3 linked regions of the Notamacropus eugenii genome follow. The protein of the gene in region 2 interacts with the protein of the main gene of each other region in a biochemical or structural test. Links are inferred from orthologs where the notes say so. Each region holds a gene or a part of one and is shown on either strand. Other genes may lie near its edges.

Evidence for each region.
Region 1: the proteins of DLAT (region 2) and PDK2 form a complex in vitro, tested with the Homo sapiens proteins (2 studies listed by BioGRID). The link is inferred for Notamacropus eugenii from reciprocal best matches to the Homo sapiens genes DLAT and PDK2.
Region 3: the proteins of DLAT (region 2) and PDHB form a complex in vitro, tested with the Homo sapiens proteins (2 studies listed by BioGRID and IntAct, with this or other methods). The link is inferred for Notamacropus eugenii from reciprocal best matches to the Homo sapiens genes DLAT and PDHB.

Annotation. Positions count from the first base shown.
Region 1 is NC_092873.1:350,497,912-350,504,997, forward strand, and holds the start of PDK2 (pyruvate dehydrogenase kinase, isozyme 2), read right to left. Parts: upstream 3,099-7,086; 5' UTR 2,874-3,098; coding exon 2,756-2,873; intron 2,400-2,755; exon of another isoform or gene 2,303-2,399; intron 1-2,302. UniProt on the Homo sapiens protein: Kinase that plays a key role in the regulation of glucose and fatty acid metabolism and homeostasis via phosphorylation of the pyruvate dehydrogenase subunits PDHA1 and PDHA2.
Region 2 is NC_092876.1:142,178,552-142,186,519, reverse strand, and holds the start of DLAT (dihydrolipoyllysine-residue acetyltransferase component of pyruvate dehydrogenase complex, mitochondrial), read left to right. Parts: upstream 1-4,881; 5' UTR 4,882-4,996; coding exon 4,997-5,275; intron 5,276-5,620; coding exon 5,621-5,722; intron 5,723-6,023; coding exon 6,024-6,148; intron 6,149-6,307; coding exon 6,308-6,464; intron 6,465-7,968.
Region 3 is NC_092874.1:466,872,360-466,880,071, forward strand, and holds the start of PDHB (pyruvate dehydrogenase E1 component subunit beta, mitochondrial), read left to right. Parts: upstream 1-4,693; 5' UTR 4,694-5,094; coding exon 5,095-5,142; intron 5,143-5,233; coding exon 5,234-5,287; intron 5,288-5,404; exon of another isoform or gene 5,405-5,526; intron 5,527-5,988; exon of another isoform or gene 5,989-6,146; coding exon of another isoform or gene 6,147-6,155; coding exon 6,156-6,263; intron 6,264-6,343; coding exon 6,344-6,406; intron 6,407-6,491; coding exon 6,492-6,527; intron 6,528-6,658; coding exon 6,659-6,944; intron 6,945-7,712. UniProt on the Homo sapiens protein: The pyruvate dehydrogenase complex catalyzes the overall conversion of pyruvate to acetyl-CoA and CO(2), and thereby links the glycolytic pathway to the tricarboxylic cycle.

The sequences.
Region 1 (7,086 bases), on a different chromosome or scaffold from region 2:
TTTTTGCCTTGTGGCCCCTACCCCCAGCACAGTACCAGGCACATAGGAAATACTTAAGAAGTGTTTGTTAAGCTACAGATTGATTGCCTGAGATGGAAGGACACTTAGAGACCATCTAATCCAGTCCCCTTATTTTACAGAGAAGGAAACTGAGAAAACCTTGGAACAGAACAGACTTCCCTCAATTCCCACAGCTAGTGGCAAAGTCTAGATTAGAGCCCAGGTCTCCTGCTTTCCAATCCAGCGTTCCTACTCTGCCCTCCCTAAACTCCACCCATCTATCCCATCTTGATAGCGACTCCCCAGCCTTACTCCAATTACATCTATTTTACTGTAACCCAGGTTCCTCCAGGCCAACAAGTTTCTTCTTTTTTCCTTCTCTACCAGGTGCTAGTAACTTGGGTAGCAGGGAATGAAATAGGGAAAAAAATTAAATGTAACAGGGTCCCAATTCCAGGGTATTGTTCCAAAGAGAGAAGGGCTTTCAGATTCTCAAGGGTCAGAGTCCTTGGGTTAGAACATTGGCTTTCCTGAACAACAGAAGCTGAGTTAAGGCAGGGAGAAATTAGAGGCAAGCCAGAGGAAGGAAACAGATTATAGGTCTGGAGTTAGACGGGCCCTCAGAGGCCATCAAATCCAACCGCCTCCCCAATTTTACAGATGAGGAAACTGAGGCCCAAGGGTGTTAAATGATGTGTATAACATCAAACAGGTTTGGGTTTCAGAGGCAGGATATGGACTCAGATCCTCTCACTGCTAAACCAGGAAGGACTCTTTCTGCTATACTACGATACTGCTCAGCTATTCCTGCTTCACTGTTTCTGCTGGAATAGATCTAAAATTTATCACTTTTGGCTTAGGTTCTCCTCCCTGCTGAGGCCAGATGTACAGTGATCACCTGCCTTAGGACCTGTCTAAGGGAGAACTGGGATCCCATCTTCCTCTGCTTTCCCTAACTCCCAGATCATCCCTCATACTTGGGGAGCATGAATCCTCAGATCTTTGGTTGAGAATGAAGTGACTAGGGATGGGCAAAGGCGATAAAGGAATGGCAGAGAGGAATCAAGACCTATGAGCAGGTGTCTAGCTGCCACAATCCCTATGGTTCTAGGTCCTTGCCAAGCGCTGTACTCTTCCTCCCCTTGCAGTGATGTAGACCATAACCAGAGCCAGGCACTATCTTTCCAACCCTACAGAGATCTAGAAGACCTCCCTCCCCACTCGCCCCGCAGCTGTCACCAAAGAAGTGCCCAACGGATAGATCCAGGCACACACAATACCCATTTCATGAGCCCAGTTAGTACAGCCTCTAACTGGCCCACCCATCATAACGGGGACTGGTACAAGGTGATCCTGATCCTAAGATGGGGGGGATACCAAGAGGTGGTTTCCTTTCCCCTCTTCTACTCTACCCCACAAGGAATCTAATGGTGTTTCTGTCCTCAGTTATAGTTCATTGCCCCTCAAAAACAGCTTGGGAGCCTTTGATATTCAAATGTCGTTGTTTAGATGGGCAGCCTTTGAAAGCAGTGGGGGTAGGGGAATGGGCCGATACCTAACCTTAGCCCCTAATACCTCTCTTCAGTTACTAATGGAAGACCTCTAACCTTTAACTCCTGTGCCCTGCCCTCTGTCCTTTATGACAGAATCCTCCTCTAAAGTCCCATATCCCAGGATTCTCTCCTGTCCTATTCATAAATCTATAGACCTCGGTTATTTTTACCCCTCAGTGTTCCTATCATTGTCTGCACAAGACCTAGGTACCCCACTACTCCATTAGAAGCAATGTCATTGACCCTCCCCTTGCCCGGCTCTCTCTGCCTATTGTCCCCATCTTTCCTCCTATCTCCTCCACCTTCCTGTTCCCTAACCCACCTTAACCTTGGATACCATGTGTGGAGACACCCCTACCCAACAAATAATCCTTTTTAATATCTGGGCCCCTCCCTAGTCTTTCTCCAACTCCTTTCCCCAGCCTCCCCCTCCCTCCCACATCTTCATTCTCCCAGAAGAAACTCCTTTGCAGCTCAGAATCCCTTCCTCTATCAACCTGGCCTGCTACCATCACCTCTCATCTCCAACTCTTTCCCAAGTCCTAATTCGCCTCTTAAACCCTTTTATTCCTAGTTCCCTACTCACAGATCCCTCATTTAACCTTGACCATCCTGTTTTCACCTTCTCCAGATTGCCCCATAAACTAGCCCTGGTCTGGAGTTCTTTACCAATAACCCTTCCTCTCCCAGCCCCCTCCTTAAACCTTGTTAGGGTGGGCTCCTACTTTCCCGGCTCCTTCTCTATTTACCCTTCTCAGACTCAAGCCCCGGGCCAGCTCCGGGTCCAGCCTTGGCATTAACTCCTCCCGGACTAGAGCCCAATTCTTTTCTTCTCACAGCCAGGAGCCCCGGCCTCTCTCTCTCTATTAACCCTTGCCAGCCTGCAGTCCTCTTGATTCTTCATTAACCCTTCCCCGACTGAAGCCCTTGACTGTCCATCAACCTTTGACTCTCCCATTAACCTTACCCAGGCTGGAACCCCTTTGACTTTCCCATTAATTTTTCTCAGGTTGGAGTCGCCTTGACTCTCCATTAACCCTTGCCAGCCTGCAGCCCCCTTCACTCTCTGTTAACCCTTGCCAGCCTGCAGCCCCCTTCACTCTCCATTAACTCTTGCCAGCCTGCAGCCCTCGCCTGCCTCCCCATCGCCTCTGCCTAGTCTGAAGCTCTCGCGACCCCTCCTCGCCCAAAGTCCTACGCACCAAAGTCCAGAAATTGCTTCATGGACAGCGGGGACGGGGAAAACTTGCTGAAGTGCTCGATGTACTTGGGCGCCCCGGCCAGGGACGCGTTCTTTAGCAGCGCCCGGACCCAACGCATGGTGGCGGTGGCAGTGGCAGTGACGGTGACAGTGGAGGTGGAGGCCCCGTTCCGGGGCCCAGAGGCGTTCAGCTCCCGCTCCCGACGCCCGGGGCCAGCCACCTCGCCTGCTCCTTCCTCCCCTCCCCTTTCAACACCGCTTTAGCGGCCTACGCTCCTCTGGCCAATCATTTCTCCCCGCCCCCGGCCGCCTCCAGTCCTCTCACACAAACAACTCTGGTCGGACCAATGAGAAGACGCCTCGGCACGTGGCTTCCCACGGCGCCCACCCTCTTAACCCTTTCTGGCCAGGGTCCCTCTCCAGTTGTGACCGAGCTCCTTCTTCGATCCCGCCCCCGAGGCTGAAGCTGTTAACCCTTCCCTTCCCGTAGCCCAACCCATAGATCCTGTCCCCTCCCCGTAGGTCGTTTAACCTTCCTAGCCTTGGGAATGGGTTACCCCGAGTCTCCCGGGAAGAGCTCTCGGGAGCCCTTTCATCCCCTGATTCCCCATGTCCCCCTCCCGGGGGTGGGACGTGGGAGGCCCCTCTCCAGCCCTGCGCTCACGCCTCCAGGCCCAAGGGAGGAGGTTTTTCAGGCTGTGACTCAGCCGCACGTTTGCAAGGAAGGAGGCCTGCAGGTGGTAGAAATTGATTCATTGGGGCTTGTTTGGCTCCCTTGGGAACTCAGGAAGATGAAAATGCCGTGCAAACACTTGGTTTTCTCGTTAAGAAAAGCGCATCCCGGGCGGGCCTTAAAACTCAACACCCCCTCTAAGCTTTTGGAGATGTCATCCCGCTCCACTTTAGGCTTTTGCTTTTGGGGGTGGTGAAGGGAATCCTTACCCCATTACATAATATGCATGCACGCACACCTACACTCCCCTCTCCCCCCCCACCCCCGCACCCCGTCTCTCCGCTATGTGTAGGTTTCTCCTTCCCCCTCCCGACGTCACTCCTCAGGGTCACCCTGACTATTTCAAGGAAAATGCAATTCGGTGCCCCCTCGTGGTCACAGGTGGTATCACGAAGTAGTATCCAAGGGGAGGGGTTGGCAGGTGCGTAGTCCCGAACGTGCCAGGCCGACCACCAGAGGTACAAGGAGGAGCATGGAAGTTTCAAGTGAAATTTCCCACAGACTCGGCCTTCACGGGGGCCTGGCCTAGAGACTAGGGGAAGATGTACAATGTATCCTTTTTATGCGTCCTCTTTCCCCCATTAGAATATAAACTTCTTCAAGAGAACCCCAGCTCAATAGATGGTGAATCTGTGAAGCCTTGTAATTCTTGCACTTGACCTTCAGGGTTGGCTCCCCCTTGCACTTTAGAGAACCCTCGGAGCACTAGAGGCCAGCAAACTACCGGAAGTTTGTTGTTATTGTTGTTTAGTTGTGTCTGACTCTTCGTAACCCCATTTGGGATTTTCTTGGCAAAGATAATGGAGTGGTTGCCATTTTCTTCTCCAGCTAATTTTACAGATAAGGAAACTGAGGGAAACAGGATTACGTGACTTGTCCAGGGTCACATAGCTGGCGTCTGAAGCTGGATTTGAAATCAGGTCTTCGGACTCTAGGCCTGGGGCTCTATCCACTGCACCCCCTAGCTAACTACCAGAAGACCTATAGTCGATTACTTGTGTAATAACTCCTTAACCTTTCTGAGCCTGTTTCCTCAGGAAGGGACTTTGAGCTCTGTGAACTTGAGTATGGAAAAAGGATACAATGGAGGATCCGGTTTTATTTGAAATTAGCCCTCCCAAACACGAATCCTTCCTTCCCCAGAACAAGCTCATCAAATGTTTGGACAGCACCAAGCTGGGAGGGACATGTTAGATAAGAGAATCAGTTTCAGAAATATCTCAATAGGCTGGAGTCAGGGGTTGAAACTGAACAATGTGGAATTTAAGACAGATAAATGTAAAGTCCTACATGAATTAAAATCAAACAACAGAATGAGTACAGGATTGGGAAATGTGGCTAGATAATAGTCCATGAGAAACAGGCCTGTGTGGACAGCAGGCTCAACCATGAGTCGGCAGGGTTAAGCAAAAGCCAAAGAAGCTAATGGGATTTTAGGTTGTGTTAATGAAGGATTATGTCCTAAGTGTTATACCATATTTTTTTGAGGCAATCAGGGTTAAGTGATTTGTTCAGGGTTACACAGCTAGTAGGTATCCGAGGCTGGATTTGAACTCAGGTGATCCTGACTCCAGGATTTAGTCTCTTATCTACTTTGCTACCCAGCTGCCCACTGAATGTTATAGTAAAGGAAAACTGCTTCAGGTGGATGAATCTTCTTTGGAAGATGGATGGGGGAGGGGAGAGAATAGTATCATAGTAGGAGATAGAGCATTGGACTTGGAATCAGGGAGATCTAGATTGAAATCTTACCTTTGCCATGTGATCCAGGGCAAGTCATTTAACCATTGTCAACTTCCCTTTCCTCATCTGTTAAAGGAGGGGGTTGGGTTCCATGGCCTCCAGAGTTCTTTCAGCTTAAACCTATGGGCCTAGAAATCATACAGCATTCAAAGAGTGGAAGAGTTTCTCTCCATTCTGGTAGAGAATTGGAGGAAGTGCACAAATCAATCAGATAACCCATCGCTTTGGGAAGGAGCTGATTGAAGGAGTTCTCTGATCAATTTGACTAGAACTCCAATCAACCTGAAGAATTTACAAGGTATCTTTTAGAGTATCTGATAATCATCTCCCCAAGTGTTTTCAAAATATCAATGGACATGCCCATGTTTTCCCTGAAGTAGTGCTCATCAGATGTTCTATATGTTATGGAAGTTCATCATATTCAGAGGCTTCCACTTAATTCCTCTTATATAAGCATCCAATTTAGAATTTTGCAGCCAAGTGTCACAGTGGATAGAGTGCCAGGTCTAGAGTCAGGAAGACTCATCTTTCTGAGTTCAAATCTGGTCTCAGATACTGGCTGTCTGATCCTGGGCAAGTCACAACTCTGCCTCACTTTCCTCATCTGTAAAGTTACTGGAGAAGGAAGTGGCAAACAATTCAATATCTTTGCTGAGAAAACCCTAAATGGGGTCACAAAGAGTTGGACATGCCTGAGCTGAACAATTAAGAATATAAAGAGGGCTATATTGGCAACATATATATATTATAATATATATAATATTAATAATAAGACAATATATGACTATATATTATATATATGTAAGATATTATATATTATATTACATTGCATATGTGTATGTATATGTATATGTATGTATATACATAATGGAGTGGTTGCTATTTCCTTCAACTCATTTTACACACAAGGAAACACACATACACACACACACATATATACATATATGAAGGCACTTTCCTCTGTCTCAATCAGATCACACTTGAGTATTGTATTGTCCTTGGTCCCACCAGTCTTTGGAAAGAAGGATAAACATTGGCAAAGTATTGTCAGCCCACGGAAAGTGAACCAGGACAGTAAGAGAACTACAGACTAATCATATGCGGATCCATTAAAGGAACTAGGACTTTTAGCTTGGAAAATAGAAAAATTGGGGGGAACAAGTTGGCTTTTTTTCAAACATTTGAAGGACTGTCACAAACCAATGGTGACAAATTTGTTTTGTTTGATCTCATAGGGCAGAACTATGAGCAATGAGTAGAAATTAAAGAATTTTGGCTTGATGTAAGAGGGGGAAAAATCTTAAGTGTAGTGGAATTGGTTTTTTTTACCAACCCTTTAACCCCTAGCCAAGAATATAATCACAAGGTGTTAGTGAAGGGTTCTACTTCTTAACAATGAGAACTTTCCAAAAATGGAATGAGTGGCCTAGGGAGGTGATAGTTTTCTTTCCTTGGAGTCTTGAAGCAGGGGTTGGGTGGTATGTGGGTGATCATTTGTTGGCTGTTTTTGTGGGGCTTCCTTTCTTATATAAGTTGGACTAGATGGCTACTGAGGCCGCTTCCATTTCTCAAGTTCTGTGATAAACCAACTTCTAAAGATGCCTCTAACTACTGATCCCTTTATAAGGTGCGCATACCCAAGTGAATCAACAGTCAATTCCACTGACTGATTGATGGACTGACCCAAGGATAACCTGTACAAAATAGTTGGGACTTCCAGGAGACAAAGTTTGTATTAGTTGTGGAATGAGACTCCTGCAGAAGAAGAATTCTCTCTCTTCTTCCCTTCTTTAACCATGAGAGCCACAACCAGTTGCCTTACCACTGGACTGCAGTGACTCTGGAGGAGACAGTGA
Region 2 (7,968 bases):
TGCAGCACCAATAAACATTTAATAACCCCACATTTACTGTCTGCTGAGCACCTTGTTAGGCCTTAGGGAAGATAGTTTACATAATAGGACAGAGTCCCAGCCACCAGTGGGCTTAAGAGTCTTAGAGCGTAAAGCATAATCAAATGAATGTTGAACTTGAGGTCAAGAGATCTGGGTTTGAATCCTACCTCAGACATTTAACTAGTATGAGGGAGGATGGTGTTTTACAACCCTGAAAATTCAATGTAATTTCAAATTCAGGTAGAGGTGATAAAAGATAGCCTTTGAGATACTTTACAACTCTCACATGCTATGTTGGGTAGGAATTTTATAGGCAAACGGAGGGAGAAAGTCCCATTTCATCCCCAGTATACGGAACAATCAGAGCAAAAGTATGGAGACATAAGAACCGTGCATGTTTAGGGGATAGAAAGTTATCCAATTTGACTGAAATGTAGAGGAGGGACATGAGAGCTATTTCAAGTACTTGAAGCTGTCTTCTGGAAGAGGAATTAAATTTGTTTTTGCTTGGCCTCAGAGAAGCAGAAGTAGGAGCAGTGGATATAAGATTGAGGAGAAAATTTTGGCTTAAGAGAAGGGAAAACTTCTAAAGGTTGCCTTATGAGGAAATGTATTCCCCTTCATTTGAAGTCTTCCAACAAAAGCTAGATGACCTACCTGTTTGGTATGCTGTTGAGGATATTCTTGGTCAGGTATGGGTTGGATTAGATGGTCTATAAAATCCTGCTCACCTCTGATTCTGTGCATGGAAGTGATTAATACAAGATAAGGCAGGAAAAGGAAGCTAAATTATGAAGAGTCTTGAATGCCAGATAGATGTCTGAACTCTCCCTGGGTCTCACTGACAGGTTGGGTCCCCCAGAAGTAACTGTTATTCCTCTCAAGGTTCTAGGGACAATCCCATGAGTGATTATCATTCCAAATGCCAGCTCATAAGCCCCCACTAGTATGCTTCCCCTTACAATCAATTAGTAGGTTCATTTAGTTCTTTAGCAAAGGCATTTATTCAAATAGCATAGCAAAAAACAGTAAGTAGTCACAAAGCATTTTTTTCCAATATAAAGGACATATTCTTCCACAAATACACTCAGAAATCAGGAAGCTGGTAAGAGTGGACATGAACTTAAAAGGTGTGTGTGTTCATCCTTCGTTGCCAAAGAAGACCATGCCATCAGAGAAACGATGACATGACTTGTACTTGTGAGGGAGGGTTGTACAGGTTGCCAGCCTCACTTCTCCTCCACAGCCAACTGAATCCAGTGACTTGATATTCCTCGGGATGACTAGAGATAACCCAGGATGAGACAATTGGGGTTAAGTGACTTGCCCAAGGTCACATAGCTAGTGAGTGTCAAGTGTCTGAGGTGAGATTTGAACTCATGTCCTCCTGACTCCTGCACTGGTGCTCTATCCACTGTACCACCTAGCTGCCCGTTGAATTTAAAATACAGTGGTAATGAAACACAAGTACTAGGGAACCCATATGGCTAGGCAATTCACTATTCCAGAGCTTCTAGGCCTCATTGTCCTTTCTTCAGAGGGTCATCACAAAGTTAACTTCTGGGCCTGCTCTTGAGGGTGTATTCTTTTTCTTCTTTTAGTCACTACTGTCTTCAGCTGGAAGAGTATCAGCATGCTCCTTTCAGCTGGAGTACTTTAGAACTCTTTTTAACTCTTGTGATCGTTCTGAAACTTGGACTTATTCATTTAGTGTTATCATGAGTCAGGTGGATTTCATAGGTCCAGGAAAAAGTAGGACCTACAGAAAGGAGGGCTGTTGGATTCCTGACTGAGGACAAAAAAACAGAAGCCTCTGTGGGTCCTTGTGAGCCTTCTTCTAATGGCCAAGCCTCTGCAATTCTTTGAAGTTGATTAAACAACCTTTCCAATTGTAAGGATGTAGGAAAACTTGCACACCTCTTTTTTTCTAGATGAAGAAACTGAAGTGGAGAGAAGACTTGCCCAAGGCCACATATATGTAACTCAGGGCCTTTTTTCCTTCATTGTTGAGGGCCAGGGTGGAGTGCTGTTGACAAGATCAGGAAAGATCTTTGGGGAAACTGTTCTTTGAGACTGTGCTCATTATCATGCGGAATGGCTCTCCACGCTCCCCAGACGTTGCTATCTCCGTGAGACAAACATGGGAACTACAGAAAACAAGGGATATGTAAAATAGATGTCCTGTAGGCTAACAGTCTTTAAAGACAATAAGACTGGCCAAATCACTGGGACAGGAGACGAGCAGAATGTCACATAGACTTGCAGTTTCTGTCTATATATACCCTAACCCTCGGATCAATAAATGGAATTGGTCTATCTTTTCCCGCCTCCCGTGTCTCTTTTCTTCACCACTTCACCGAGCTGTGTAGGGACGCGGGCCGTCTGCTACACTTCATCAACTTCCCAACCTGAAAGTAATTATATAACCCACTGCTTTATAATTAATATGATTAAATAATATTTATAACTCTGGGCGTACAGGCATTAGGGTCTATCTTATGTGCTTCTCCATAACAATAATAACTGATGTCTCTCTAAGGACACAGCTGACCTGCCAGAGCTTAGGCTAACAAGACATCAGATGTAGGACTGTTTTTATACCACCTGATAAAATACTTAATAGGCTTGAACCTGAGTCCATTAGAACTGCAGGACTGGGAAGTCCTTTGTCTCCTCATACAGTCCTCAATGTGGCCCACCTCTTGCTATCAATGGACTTTCTTCAGTCCATAGCAAACTTTTTATCTGTTCCCAGGGTTAAGTTCCAGTTGTTTCCTCCATTAAGGGCTATGTCTATGTATCAATCTGTGAGGTGTGTCTCTACTTCCTCAACTTGGCCTCAAATTTGCTCAGCCTGACTCCACTTTCTGGATGGGGTGCCTTCTTCACGGAGAGTAACTATGACTTGTGCAATCTTTGGCTCAAAAGGCTAACTATAATACGAGATTCTCTTCCTGTTGGTAGAGACTGTTCAATACCCTGCTTATGGAGGCCTTATAGACCAAGTTGGTGAGAGCTGGAGGCTTTTCTGCTATTCAACTTCAAAAGATACCATGATTCCAATCTTTTTTAACTAGATAACTGCTGATTAGGGGAGGAGGGAAAACACTTCATTCTAACCCTGGCACTGGGGATCTCACAGAGCAGCTGCTCCACAGATTTGATTACCTCCTACTAAGGAACTGCTAGATGATTTATCTAAGGGCCTAAGGGCACCGACTATTTATAATCTTCTTGTTGATTAAGGAAGTTTTAGTTACTTTTGGTACAAGGAAAACTTTTAACAAAACCTTTACATCAGTAAAACGATCCATCTCGCTAACATTCCTTCAGGCTCTATATCTTATGACTTTTTCTTATGATAATTACTGAATCAAACCTCCCAGCACGACTTCTGAATGGAATCGGTTACACAATGGAAATCCTTTGGTTACACAATAGTAACCTTAGGCAGGCAGGTGGGGTTAATGGTCTCATGTAATGGTTCACCAAGTATAGAGTAATTTTAGTAAGAGTCCACATTCTTTCCCCACTTCTCTGGCCAGGAACCCTGAGGTTGCGGGCGCCACCTGTCGGATGCTGGGGATCCTTAACTGAAACTTCTGTATTTGAACAAGAGGCACTGTGTTACTGAGGAAAGGGCACTGCATTTTGAGTCAAGGGTCCTGTTCTATACATAAATCACAAGTGGGAAGGCAGGGGGATTACAAACAGTCGTCCCCAGGGCCCGAGTGGTTCACTAGGACAAACCCACAAATGGAAGACAATCCAACAATTCTGGAGTATCGTGGGAGCAATATTGCTAGAGTCCTTGGGGAGCGGGTCGTTACTTAGTCACAGCAGGAGCAGGTTCCAGTCTTTGGCTTCACTTCAGGTACACAGGCAGAAGGATGCCAGTGATTGTGAGCCCCGCAAGGTGTGATTGATCAGTTCAAGCTGCATTGTGGGTCTGACTCACAAGCTGGAAAAGGCAATTCTGCAAAATCTGATCGATTAGCATATTCATTACACACATAAAATTGATTATAAAAATCAGAATTCCCTCCACAGACCTGTTTTTTACTATTCCACCAATAATTTTGGGCAATTCCTTTTATATCTCTCCGTCTGATCAGCTATAATAAAAGGAATTTGTCGTTTAGTCTAGTTCAGCTCTTTGTGACCCGATATGGGGTTTCTTGGCAAAAATACTGAAACAGCTTGCTATTTCCTTCTCCAGCTCATGTTACAGATAAGGAAACTGAGGCAAGCAGGATTAAGTGACTTGCCCAGGGTCACACAGCTAGTGAGCCTCTGAGACTGGATTCAAGCCCAAATTTTCCTGACTCCAGGGTGGGCCCCTAGCTGCCCAGCTGTAAAGTACTGTATTAAAATCCGGGTTCTGCTCCTGGCTCCCTGCGTACCTTGGGTAACGAGGCACCTGGACCTCAGTTTTCTCACCTGTAAAATGGGACAAGACAACTTTTTTCCACTTCTAAACCTCTGACCCTCAGACCAGAAATAAGCGCTGCGGTCCTCACTCCTCTCTCAGTGCCCGGCGCGGCCTTGAGCGAGTCACTCGAGGGCTCGGTGCCTCAGTTTCCTTCTCTGAAAAGCGGCGGGCTGGGGCAGACCCTCTCTGGGAAGCCTTCCCACGTCAAGCCCGGACGGCAGCTCGAGCACGACGGCGGCCCCTCGGCCTCGGCTCACGACGCTTCCCCTCTCCGTCCCAGCCCGGGCCTCTCCAAGGCTCGCTTTTCCCTCGCGCACCCCGGCGCTCCGCCCCACGCTCGTCCTCCCCCGAACCGCGGCCGGAGGAACTGGGCGGGACGACTTGGGAGGGACTTCCCTCGCTCTTTTACGACAGTACCCTCCTTTACCGTACGGCGCGGCGCGGTTGACGGCGGTGTCGCACGGTGGTCGCGGAGGTCACACAGGAGACGACGGCGGCTGCGGCGGCGGCTCCGGCTCACGGGCGCAGGCTCTCGGTGGCACAATGTGGCGAGTGTGCGCGCGGCGAGCCCGGTGCGCGGCCCAGCGGACGGGGTTTGGGAGCCCGGCCGCAGCCGTGGCCCCGAGGGAGGGCCCTGCGGGGCTGGCCCCTGGCCCGGCCGCCACCCCTAGGCTCTCGCGTTCTTCCCACTGCGGGGCTGGGGCGCTGCAGGGCTGGGGGCCTGGCTCCGGCTCGGCGGCCGTGCCGCGGGCTCGGCTGCTGCAGCTGCAGCTCTTGGGGACCCCGGGCCGGCGCTGGTACAGCCTCCCCCCCCACCAGAAGGTGAGGCCGCCCCCCGGCCCCCAGGCCCTGGTCCTTGACCCGGGGGTCTCGGGCCTTCCAGGCCTGGGCCGGAGACCCCCTCCTCCCGGCGAGTCCTCCCCATCCTGCCCTCTCCCCACCCTCACCCCCACCCCGTCCCGGTGGCTGGGGGCCGGGAGGGGACTGCGTGACAGACTGGAAATGTCACCTGAGAGGTAGCGTTCCTGCTGCCAACTCCACAGGGACGGGCTCATGGCAAGGAGCTGGAGCGTCTCACCGGGCTTCCGAAGGGGGCCCCGGAGCCCGGGAGGGAAGAAGCAGTGCTTGCCCTTTCGAAAGCAGGTGTCCCTTCTCTTTTCTTTCCAGGTTCCTTTGCCTTCTCTTTCCCCCACGATGCAGGCGGGCACCATTGCCCGATGGGAGAAAAAGGAAGGTGAGAAGATCAACGAGGGTGACCTTATAGCCGAAGTAAGTAGTTTGGAGAGGTGGGAAACTGAAAGCATTCGGATCGGGGTGCCTCGGAACTAACTCGGTTGTCTGGGTGGATAGTCTGAAGTATGCCGCAGCTTTGCTGGATGTCTTTCATAAGTCTGTCGGTGCATGAATGACCAAGCTGATTTTTATCTGAGAAGTCTTTAACAGCTTCTTTGATGTCTTTACAAAGGTGAAAGTTTTATTTTCACTTGTGAACTTTTTAATGCCAAATTAAGGTAATAAACGTCAGTCTGGCTGTGAGTATTTGAAAACATCCCATGTCTTCTGTTTGAAGGTTGAAACAGACAAAGCCACAGTTGGATTTGAGAGCCTAGAAGAGTGCTACCTGGCTAAGATAATTGTTCCAGAAGGTACCAGAGATGTTCCAATTGGAGCAGTCATCTGTATCACTGTTGAAAAGTAAATACTCTTGATTTTATCTGCTTGAACATTTCCATGCGCAACAGTTGGATATTGATGTGTTTGAACCTAGAATTGAGGGATGGCTAGAAGTTACCTTTTCCTCCATGACTCACAAGGGTAATGAAAATGTCTATGTGTGTTTTCTTCCCACCTTAGAGCAGAGGATGTGGATGCATTTAAAAATTACACCCTGGATTCCGCAGCAGCAGCAGCCCCCCCCACCCCACAGACTTCCACACCTCCTCCCCCTGCTTCTGTGCCTTCAACACCTTCTGTTCAGGCTCCAGGAAGCTCGTATCCTCCTCATATGCAGGTAAAGTTTAACTATTGAACTTTCCCAAGAATTTGCCTTTTCAATTGATTATTAATTCCTTTACATTTGTGTGTGTATTACTAATCTTGAGGAAGCTTAAAAACTGAAGTGGTTTATAGTTAGGTCTTTCTGCAAAGATAAAACAGTTTCCATATAGGAGTAAATAACAAGCATGAAAACTCAAGCTGTACCCATACCTGGAGGGTTCCTTTCAACCTGATCTCTGCCTTTTAAAGTACTACCTCTAGGTGACACCTTTTCTGTGAAGCCTTCATTGAGTATGCTCATTCCCTTCTATTTATCTGTTTGTATACATGTTGTTTTTCTGGTGTCTGTTCACAGTCCCTTACACTTAGTGAAAACTGAGTGAAGTTTATTCCCACATGTGACCTTGGACAGCTCCTTGGACCTTGCTGAGCCTGAGTGTTTCCATTTGTAGATCTAGTAGTTTAACGCTGCCTTCTTCCCGTGTCAGGGACGTTGCAAGTGTAGTAAATTATAAACCCATAATCAATATTTTGTAGTTTTTTTTCCTAAACATGTTATAATTGAAATCCAGAGACATGTTTGTCAAGTGCCTTTCCTTTTCTTTGTTTGTGATTAATTATGTCCTCTAAATTTAAATGGGATGGTTCTAGTCTTTCAGTAACACTGATGGTTTAAAGTTAGGAAACTGACAGCAACTAATGTGTATAAATTTAAATGTGTAAATAAACATTTGTTTAGAAACATAAGACATTAAGGCCCTCTTACTATAAAGATTTTATGACTTTTAAACATTGAGTTAGGTCAGAGTTGCTTGAAATAAATCTAGTATCTATTCATGATAGATGTATCTCTCATGATAGAGATAAAAGATGGAAAGTATTCAGCAGTATCTTCCTCCTGAAAGTTGGTTCAAACCAATATATCATTTATATGGCTCTGTCATTTGCCACTTTGTAGAGATTTCCAAAGAGGAATTATTTCTATTTTTTGGGGGAGGATCATGCTCCTCCTTATCATACTCTGACATCCCCTTGCTATTACCAGTGAGAAACTGGTATATTCAGTTTAAGCTCGTGTTTCTTCACTCTGCATTGTTGTGTTCCCTTGAATAATTATGCCTCTTTTGTTATTTTCTCTTTTATGCTCAGACTCTGCATCTTAAATAATTCACACATTTTAAAAAATTGTTTTGTTAATCTTAGTAATCAGATAATGATGACAAGTTTTAGAAGGAAGATTACTTTTGATCTGAGTCACCTGGTTTGCTGTTTTTGGGAATATATGAATCGTTATTGTTGTGTTTGTCCTTTGCTGCCAAAGAAGACCATGCCATCAGAGAAATGATAACATGACTTGTACTTTGTTTTGAGTGAAGGAGGACTGTGCAAGGTCACCAGCCTCACTTCTGCCCTGGAGCCATCTGGATCCAGTGACCAGATATTCATGAGGATGATTGGAGATGGCCCAGGATGCAGTGGGAGACTTTGGCCCCTTTAGTCCAAGGCCTATTTGGTTC
Region 3 (7,712 bases), on a different chromosome or scaffold from region 2:
TGTGTCACACATTGTCGGGAAGTCCAGCACACGTCAGCAGGAATATCTGCAGGTAATGCCTTTTTACAATACACTATACTGTTACATGACAAAATACTGCATCATCAAAATTTCAATACAGGAAAAAAAACATAAAAATAATAAATTATTAAATTTAAGATGCATCATTTCAAAAAAAATTATATCCTATATTTTATTATATCTTATATCCTATATTTTTTTGAAATGATGCAAACATCAAAAACAAACAAACAAACAAACTCGTTAAAAGGTAAAAGAAAGTAGATTTCCAGGGTGGCATCGAGTAATTTTCTTTTTTTTTGAAAAGTTAGTGGTAGGACAAACAAGTTGGGGAACTTCTGCCCTAGTTGATCCAATACTTTTTCCAGTGTTTCCTCATGTTCTTCTAGAGTCTCCCCAAAGACAATACTGTCAACAAAAAGGACCTCCTCTGACCCTAACAGCTGTGCATTTTACCCTGATTTCTCTCCTGCATTCCAACCGCCTGTCAGACATCTTCACCTGGGAATTGTTTAGGCTTCTTGAAAACAGAACCCACCATCTTCACCACTTAGCTCACATCTCCTCCAAACTTCATATTCCAGAAGTTGAAAAGACTTAAATCCAGGACAATCCTGAAGGGGAAGAGGAAAAATAATGTGTGGCCTGAGCTGAGGAGTATGACCAGAAAGAGGGAAAGGGCAGTTTAACTTAGCCTGACCTTAGTGAATGGCAGACTCTTGTGTGGGTGGACGAATGGTCAGTCTTCCTTGGTAAACACTGGCTCCTTCAACATGCCCCATAACAACTAAGTCACGATTAAGATACAAACAGTGCCCTAAGAGTTAAAAAAAAATAAGGTTGCTTTTCTAGTACTTTGTGAAGCCCCTAGTTTATTCTGTAACCTGAAGGCACCCTAAAGTCCTTTTCCCAATTATCTTGAACCTGTACCAAAAGAATTGCTTTTGTCTCCCTTATTCTGTGTTCCTTGGGTCCTTTAATTTTTAACCCATATCCTCCTGCCCTGTCCTTAAATCCTTAAACCATAAAACTTCCCCCTTACCCATAAAATTTCCCCCATCTTCCTTACTCATCTTCCTGTCATCCATCTTCCTCATTATGTCCCTAATCTTCAACCCCCATAAAAATCTCTAAAACTACATCATCATTCTGAAATCTCTTCATAAGCATAACTTGAGGCCTGAATATTGAGACTTTACTTAGCCATCTTGCTAAGGAGCCCCGTGATGCTCTTTTCTTCTTTTTTTAATTTTTTAAAATTTTTCTTTTTTAATTATTTTACTTGTTTTCAGTGTTCTACAATCACTTCCATATATCTTAGATTTTTTCCCTTCCCTCTCCACTCCCTCCCCAAGACAGCATGCAATCTCATATAGGTTCTACACATACATTCCTATTAAATACATTTTCACCTTAGTCATGTTGCATAGAAGAATTAAAATGAAGGGGAGAAACCATAAAACAAAATATAACATAATACAAAAGAAAAAGGTTGGCTTCATTCTGTGATCCAATTCCATAGTTCTTTCTCTGGATGTTGAAGGCATTTTGCCTCAAGAACCCACTGGGAATTTTTTTAGGTCCTTCCATTGTTATGAAGGACTAAGTCTACCAGAAAAATTCCTCGCACACTGTGGTTGTTGCTGTGTACAATGATCTCCTGGTTCTGCTCCTTTCACTCAGCATCAGTTCATAAAAGTCTTTCCAGGCCTCTCTGAAGTCTTCCTGTTCATCATTTCTTACAGCACAATAGTATTCCATTACATTCATGTACCACAACTTGTTCAGCCATTCCTCAATTGATGGGCATCCTCTTGATTCCCAGTTTTTGCTCACCACAAAGAGAGTGGCTATAGATATTTTTGTACATGTAGGACCCTTTCCCATTTTTATGATCTCTTTGGGATACAGTCCTAGAAGCAATATTGCTGGGTCAAAGGGTATGCACATTTTTGTAGCCCTTTGGGCACAGTTTCAAATTGCTCTCCAGAATGGTTGGATGCGCTCGCAGCTCCACCAACAATGAATTAGTGTTCCAACTCTCCCACATATTCTCCAACATTTATCATCTTCCTGTTTTGCCATGTTAGTCAATCTGATAGATGTAATGTGGTACCTCAGTGTTGTTCTGATTTGCACTATGATGCTTTTTTCAAGTTAAAATAAAAAGTTCCTATTGGCTATAAGTGAAGGTCTAAGTGAATTCTTTCACACCTGAACCTGCTCTACCAACTCCAAACCTCCTCAATCCCTCCTTGTTAGGTGTCTGAGTAACCAAAGGCTTCGACCGAGGCTACTGCCCTAATTTGCTTCAGCCTTGGTGGCATGTTAGAGAAGAGTAAGGAGGAGAAAATGTGACTAATAAAGAGAAAAAGACATTGGGGGGCATTTGGTCCCCTAATTCAACCATCCATGACTATATAGGCATTAATAATTCTGCTCAAAGGCCCCAAGTGGATCCCTACTGATTCAAGGATAAAAATACCAATAGTTAATCTTGATTTATAAAACCCTTCAGAGCCTGGCTTCCACTACCTGTCCAGACTGACTTGTATTCCTTCCTTTCCCCTACTCTCTGCTCCAGTCAAGGAGGCACTATTCCATCTTCCATTTCCCTTCAAACCTTCCCTTCTTACCTGAGCTTCATACAATCTCTGGCTTCTTCTTGGTTCAGAGACCATCTCCTACAGGAAGTCTTTCCTGATTCTGCCAGTTGCCAGTACTTTCTCCCCCCAGAAGTTATCTTGTGTTTACCTATATGCTACTTTCTTCTTCCCACCCCAAGAGGAAGAAAAAGGAATAAGCATTTATATAAATTGGATGCCCTGCTAAGCACTTTTAAGAAATATCTCATTTAATCCTCACAACAATCCTGTGACGTAGGTGCTATTATTATTCCCATTTTACAGGTAAGGAAACTGAGGTTAAGTGACTTGCCTAGGGTCATATAGCTAATAAATGTCCAAGGTCAGATTTGAACTTGGGCCCTCCTGACTCTAGTCCCAGCCCCTCTATTCAGTCTCATATTAATTCTTGGAGGCTGGGATTGTTTTGGTTTTTTCCAGTGCTTAGTACACAGTAAGCATTTAATGAAACTGAATTGCCTAAATAAATAAATTGAATTGCCAAACCAGCAAGCCAATAAATAGTGTCTATGATAATAGTGTTCTAAGTGCTGAGGACACAAATAACAAAAAGAATGTTAGTGCCTGTGCTCTGGGAGCTTAAAATCTAAAGGAGGTAACACCCAAAAGACTGCAGGAAAGCCGGTAGAACACAGAAAGAAAGGGAGAGACACCAAAGGGTACCAGGGGCTGGGGCATCTTGTTCGTGGACTTGAAACCTGGCAGGGCAGCAGATACAGGTAGAGAGAACCGCCTTATTGAAGGGTCCCTTTCCATAGGTCATAGCATGTGAAGGTTAGTACTGTTTGGAAGGTTTAGAGTCACCCTGATAACTGTCTTCAGGTGTGGTGTCTGAAGTACTGATGCATTTCCTAGGAACTCGTCTTGCTTTATCTGTCCCCAGAAGGAAGATCTGGGGTGAAAGTCATCAAGTGCTGTCTAAGGGTGTAAGAGGCTGTGGATTCCGCTGTACCGTCAAGGATGTTGCCAGGAAAGTCCTTGCTCAATGGATCACGGATTCAAAGCTGGGAAAAGTCCCAGAAGCCACCTGCTCCAATCCTCTCATTATACTTTTGAGGAAACTGAGGCTCAGATGTGTTATGTAACTTGTTTGAAGCTGTGCAGGTAATAAAGGTGTTAGAGCTGGTAGCTGTACCCAGGCCCTCGATGTTCTTTCCACCCATCCACACTGGCCAGCTTCCGTGGGGGGGCTTCGAGACTCAGCTCAAACACCATCTTCTTCAGGAAGCTTTTCTCTGCCCTCCCAGCTATTTTGCATACAGGGCATCCCAAAAGCCTTGGTGCAAATTTTAAGCTTTTGAAAAAACCTTGACTAAGTTGTAAACAGCTATTTGCAAGTTGTCTTCCTTGTTAAAATGTGAGCTCGTGGGTGTAGAGCATCGTTTCAAAGAAACCTGAGAAGACTTACAGGAACTGATGCAAAACGAAGTGATCAGAACCAGGGAAACCACACGATAACAACAGCACCACAGTAGAATTCAACGGTGAAAGATTTAGGAATTATCGAAATGACCACTCACAATTCCAGAGCACTGCCTCATAATGAGAAAGATTACGCATCTGCACCGAAAGGCATCGGTCTCAGGGGACAAAGTTTGTTGTGTTTTTTAACCTGGCTAATGTGATCATTAGTTTTGCCTGACACGCATCTATCTGTAACTTGTGTTATGTTTTTCTTGCTTTCCCAGTGGGCTGGAGAGAAAAATTAGAAACTGAAAATAAAACAAAATGGAATTTTTAAAAAGTTACATGCCTGTAGATGGACTCTCTCCAAGCTACTCGATGGAGATGGGCGGGTCTCCTAGGTGATACTTAGTATCCTAGCCGGCCTCCAGGGCTGATATTTACAAAGCCGACCTCTCAGCTGAAATTTACAAAGCTGACATTTACAATCAAGTGGAGCTCAAGAGCTGATATTTACAACCAAGTATGAGCCCCTTCGCCTCCCACAACACACACTGGGCCAGGCGGACTGCCTGGACAATTAGCCGTTATCTAGCAGGGGAATCAAAGAACGGAGGGTCAGAGACTTCAAAGGAGCTTTGCGGACCGAAAGGCTCTCCAGGAAGGAGAACTGAGCGTCAGGGCTAAAAGGAGCCTGGGATTTCAACCCACGCTCGGTCGCAGGCAAAGGGCACGGCGTGCCCTCTGAGTGTGCGCCCCGACGCTATCAATAAAGTTTATTTTAATCGAAATCAGGTGGCGCCTCCGGCGGAAAGGGACACACGCGAGCTCCAATCCCAGGCTGTCTGGCTTTGGGGTCCCGCCCTTGCCCCGCCTCCCAGAGCGGGAAGGAGGGAAGCACGCGCACACCGCGCCCTCCCATTGGACGGTGTCGAGGTCAGGGGAGGGGCCGACCCGTCCCCTCGCTATGGCTCGCCGTTGTCATTAGACCGAGCCTCCGTCACCGGTAGAGGACACGGGCAAGATGGCGACGGGGCTAGTGCGAAGAGGGCTCACCGGCTGCGGCCAGCAGGTAGGCGCGACCCCGAAGAGAAGACACCCCTCCCACGCCGGCCCCGGCCCCTCCACCCCACTGACTTTCGTTCTCTCTCCCTGCCCGCCAGGTGTCCCGGTTGCTGCGGAGGCGCTTCCACCGCTCGGCGCCCGCGGCGCTGCAGGTACGGGGTAGGGCGGCAGGGGCCGCGGGGCGAGGGGGGGGGGGGGGGGGCGGAGAGGAGGGAGGCCGGGGCTGCGCCTGCGTATTAGACTCCTGCGTGGGGGTGGGGCGCCGTCTACTGGGCTGCAGTCCCGGACCTCTGCCCGACTGGGGGCGGGGCCGCCCGTGGAGGAGTGTAAGCCCGTTGAGGGCAGGCGTGTTTGCCTCCCGAGACGGCTAAGGATCCCTTCGTGCCCCGAGGTGCTTAATAAATGCTCCTTCCTTTCTCTCCACCCCCAAGGGGCCCCCCCAGAGTTAGCATCGCCCCCCGCAAGCGGCTCGAGCCTGTAGAAAATTGGAGAGTGTTGAAAACTAGCGAACACATATAGAAAGCCAGAAAACGTAACCCCAGGGTCCCCAGGCTTCCCTCTTGCACCCCCCTTTCCCCAAGGGAGCCTCAGCTTTACGAGGAAAGGCAGACCCCCGGTCACAGCCGTCCCCCATCGCCCACTTTTCTGGGCTAACTTGGCCATGGCCCTTTTCCAAATCCCCCTCCCCTGTTTCCGGTTCTTTAATCATATGTTCCACCAAAATAGGTTCTAATCAGTTTAATTTAATTAAAAGCAAACATTCTGCCCCGGATTCCCAGGGAAGGAGCCGGATAGGCCCGGGATGGACGACTTTGTCCCCACGCTCTGGCTGTAGCTTGGATTGTGTCTGCAGGGGGATGCGACCTTGGCTTGGCTTAGGGGCGGTTTGGGGTCGTTCCTGCGGTGACCTTGGCTCTCTGGGTTGGCCCACTCCCATTCTCCCGGACCGTCCTGGACTGGCAGGGGAGCCCTGGGAGGGGCCTGGGCCGCTTCGGACCGAGCGCCCTCCCGATGCCACAGGTGACCGTTCGAGATGCTTTGAATCAGGCCATGGACGAAGAGCTGGAACGGGACGAGAAGGTCTTCCTGCTCGGAGAGGAGGTTGCCCAGTACGATGGCGCCTACAAGGTAATGACCAAGGATTCGGGGTGCCCCCGGCGGGCCTGGCCGCCCCGCGGTAACCGGCTCTGCCTTCGTGTTCACTGCAGGTCAGCAGAGGCCTGTGGAAGAAGTACGGAGACAAGAGAATTATCGACACCCCCATATCCGAGGTAGGGCGCCCGCGGGACAGACCGTGGGGAGGCGGGAGTGTGGCTGGCCGAGGCCTGCCCTCCACACCGAGCTTTTGCTTTTCAGATGGGCTTTGCCGGGATTGCCGTAGGGGCAGCCATGGTAAGTAAGGCACATGGGTCATTTTCGGCTTGATCTTAAATTGTTTTAACGTAATGCAACAATGGTAGTTGATACTTTTTTCCTTTTCGTTAAGCTACTTAGTTATGTTGGGTTTTTTCCTAATTTAACAGGCAGGATTGAGGCCAATTTGTGAATTTATGACCTTCAATTTCTCTATGCAAGCAATCGACCAGGTTATAAACTCAGCTGCCAAGACTTACTATATGTCAGGTGGGCTTCAGTCGGTGCCCATTGTCTTCAGGGGACCGAATGGTGCTTCCGCTGGGGTGGCTGCCCAGCATTCCCAGTGTTTTGCAGCTTGGTATGGGCACTGTCCTGGATTAAAAGTGGTCAGTCCTTGGAGTGCAGAGGATTCAAAAGGCCTTATGAAATCAGCAATCCGGGATGACAATCCCGGTGAGTCCTTTTTTCCTTCTGATTTACAGAGAATCTTCCGTAGAATTTTATAGTTGGGGAAAACCTTAGAAATGAGAGTAAAACATGCCCATTTTAAAGGAACTGAACCTTTAGCTAGTTTTAATCAGATGACTTGAAGAGAGAAACTAGTTTTGTTTTTAAATCTTGATTTCTTCCTGTTTGAATGTGAATAATATCCTGACGTTCAGAGAAAACGTGTGTTTGCCCCTGTCCTGGCTTGTGATCCATAGCATCTCTGGATTTCTGACATGCTTTAATTTTAATAAGCAGAAGAGCCGGATTAGCTAAGATGAATGTAATATAGACAAGCCATTATTAAGCTTAGCTGTCTTTTAAAACTACAGCAGTTGAGATTTCCTCATATAAAACACAGCTTTTTTAAGGGAACTCTTCTAGAGGTTAATGTCATTGATTTATATTTAATCTACATGAGTAGTTAGTCATCCTTAACACTCCCCGATACTTGTTTAAAAAATAGCCTGAAACAGACTTGAAATCCCTCTGATCTTTTTGGACTTCACATTGACTTAGAAAACCTCAAATTAACATTCTGTGGGCTATATTTTTTATCTATTTTGTTAATTTCCCATACACATTTTATTTGAGCTCTGGCAGGGCTCCAGAGTTTTGCTGTCCCCCATGAGCTGGGCACTTCCCGCTTTCCCCCCTCCCTTGTGGCATCCTTCAGTTCTCCTAGGGAGGCGTTGGCCATGGGGTGGGGAGGAGAGGAGGCCCAGATGACTCCTG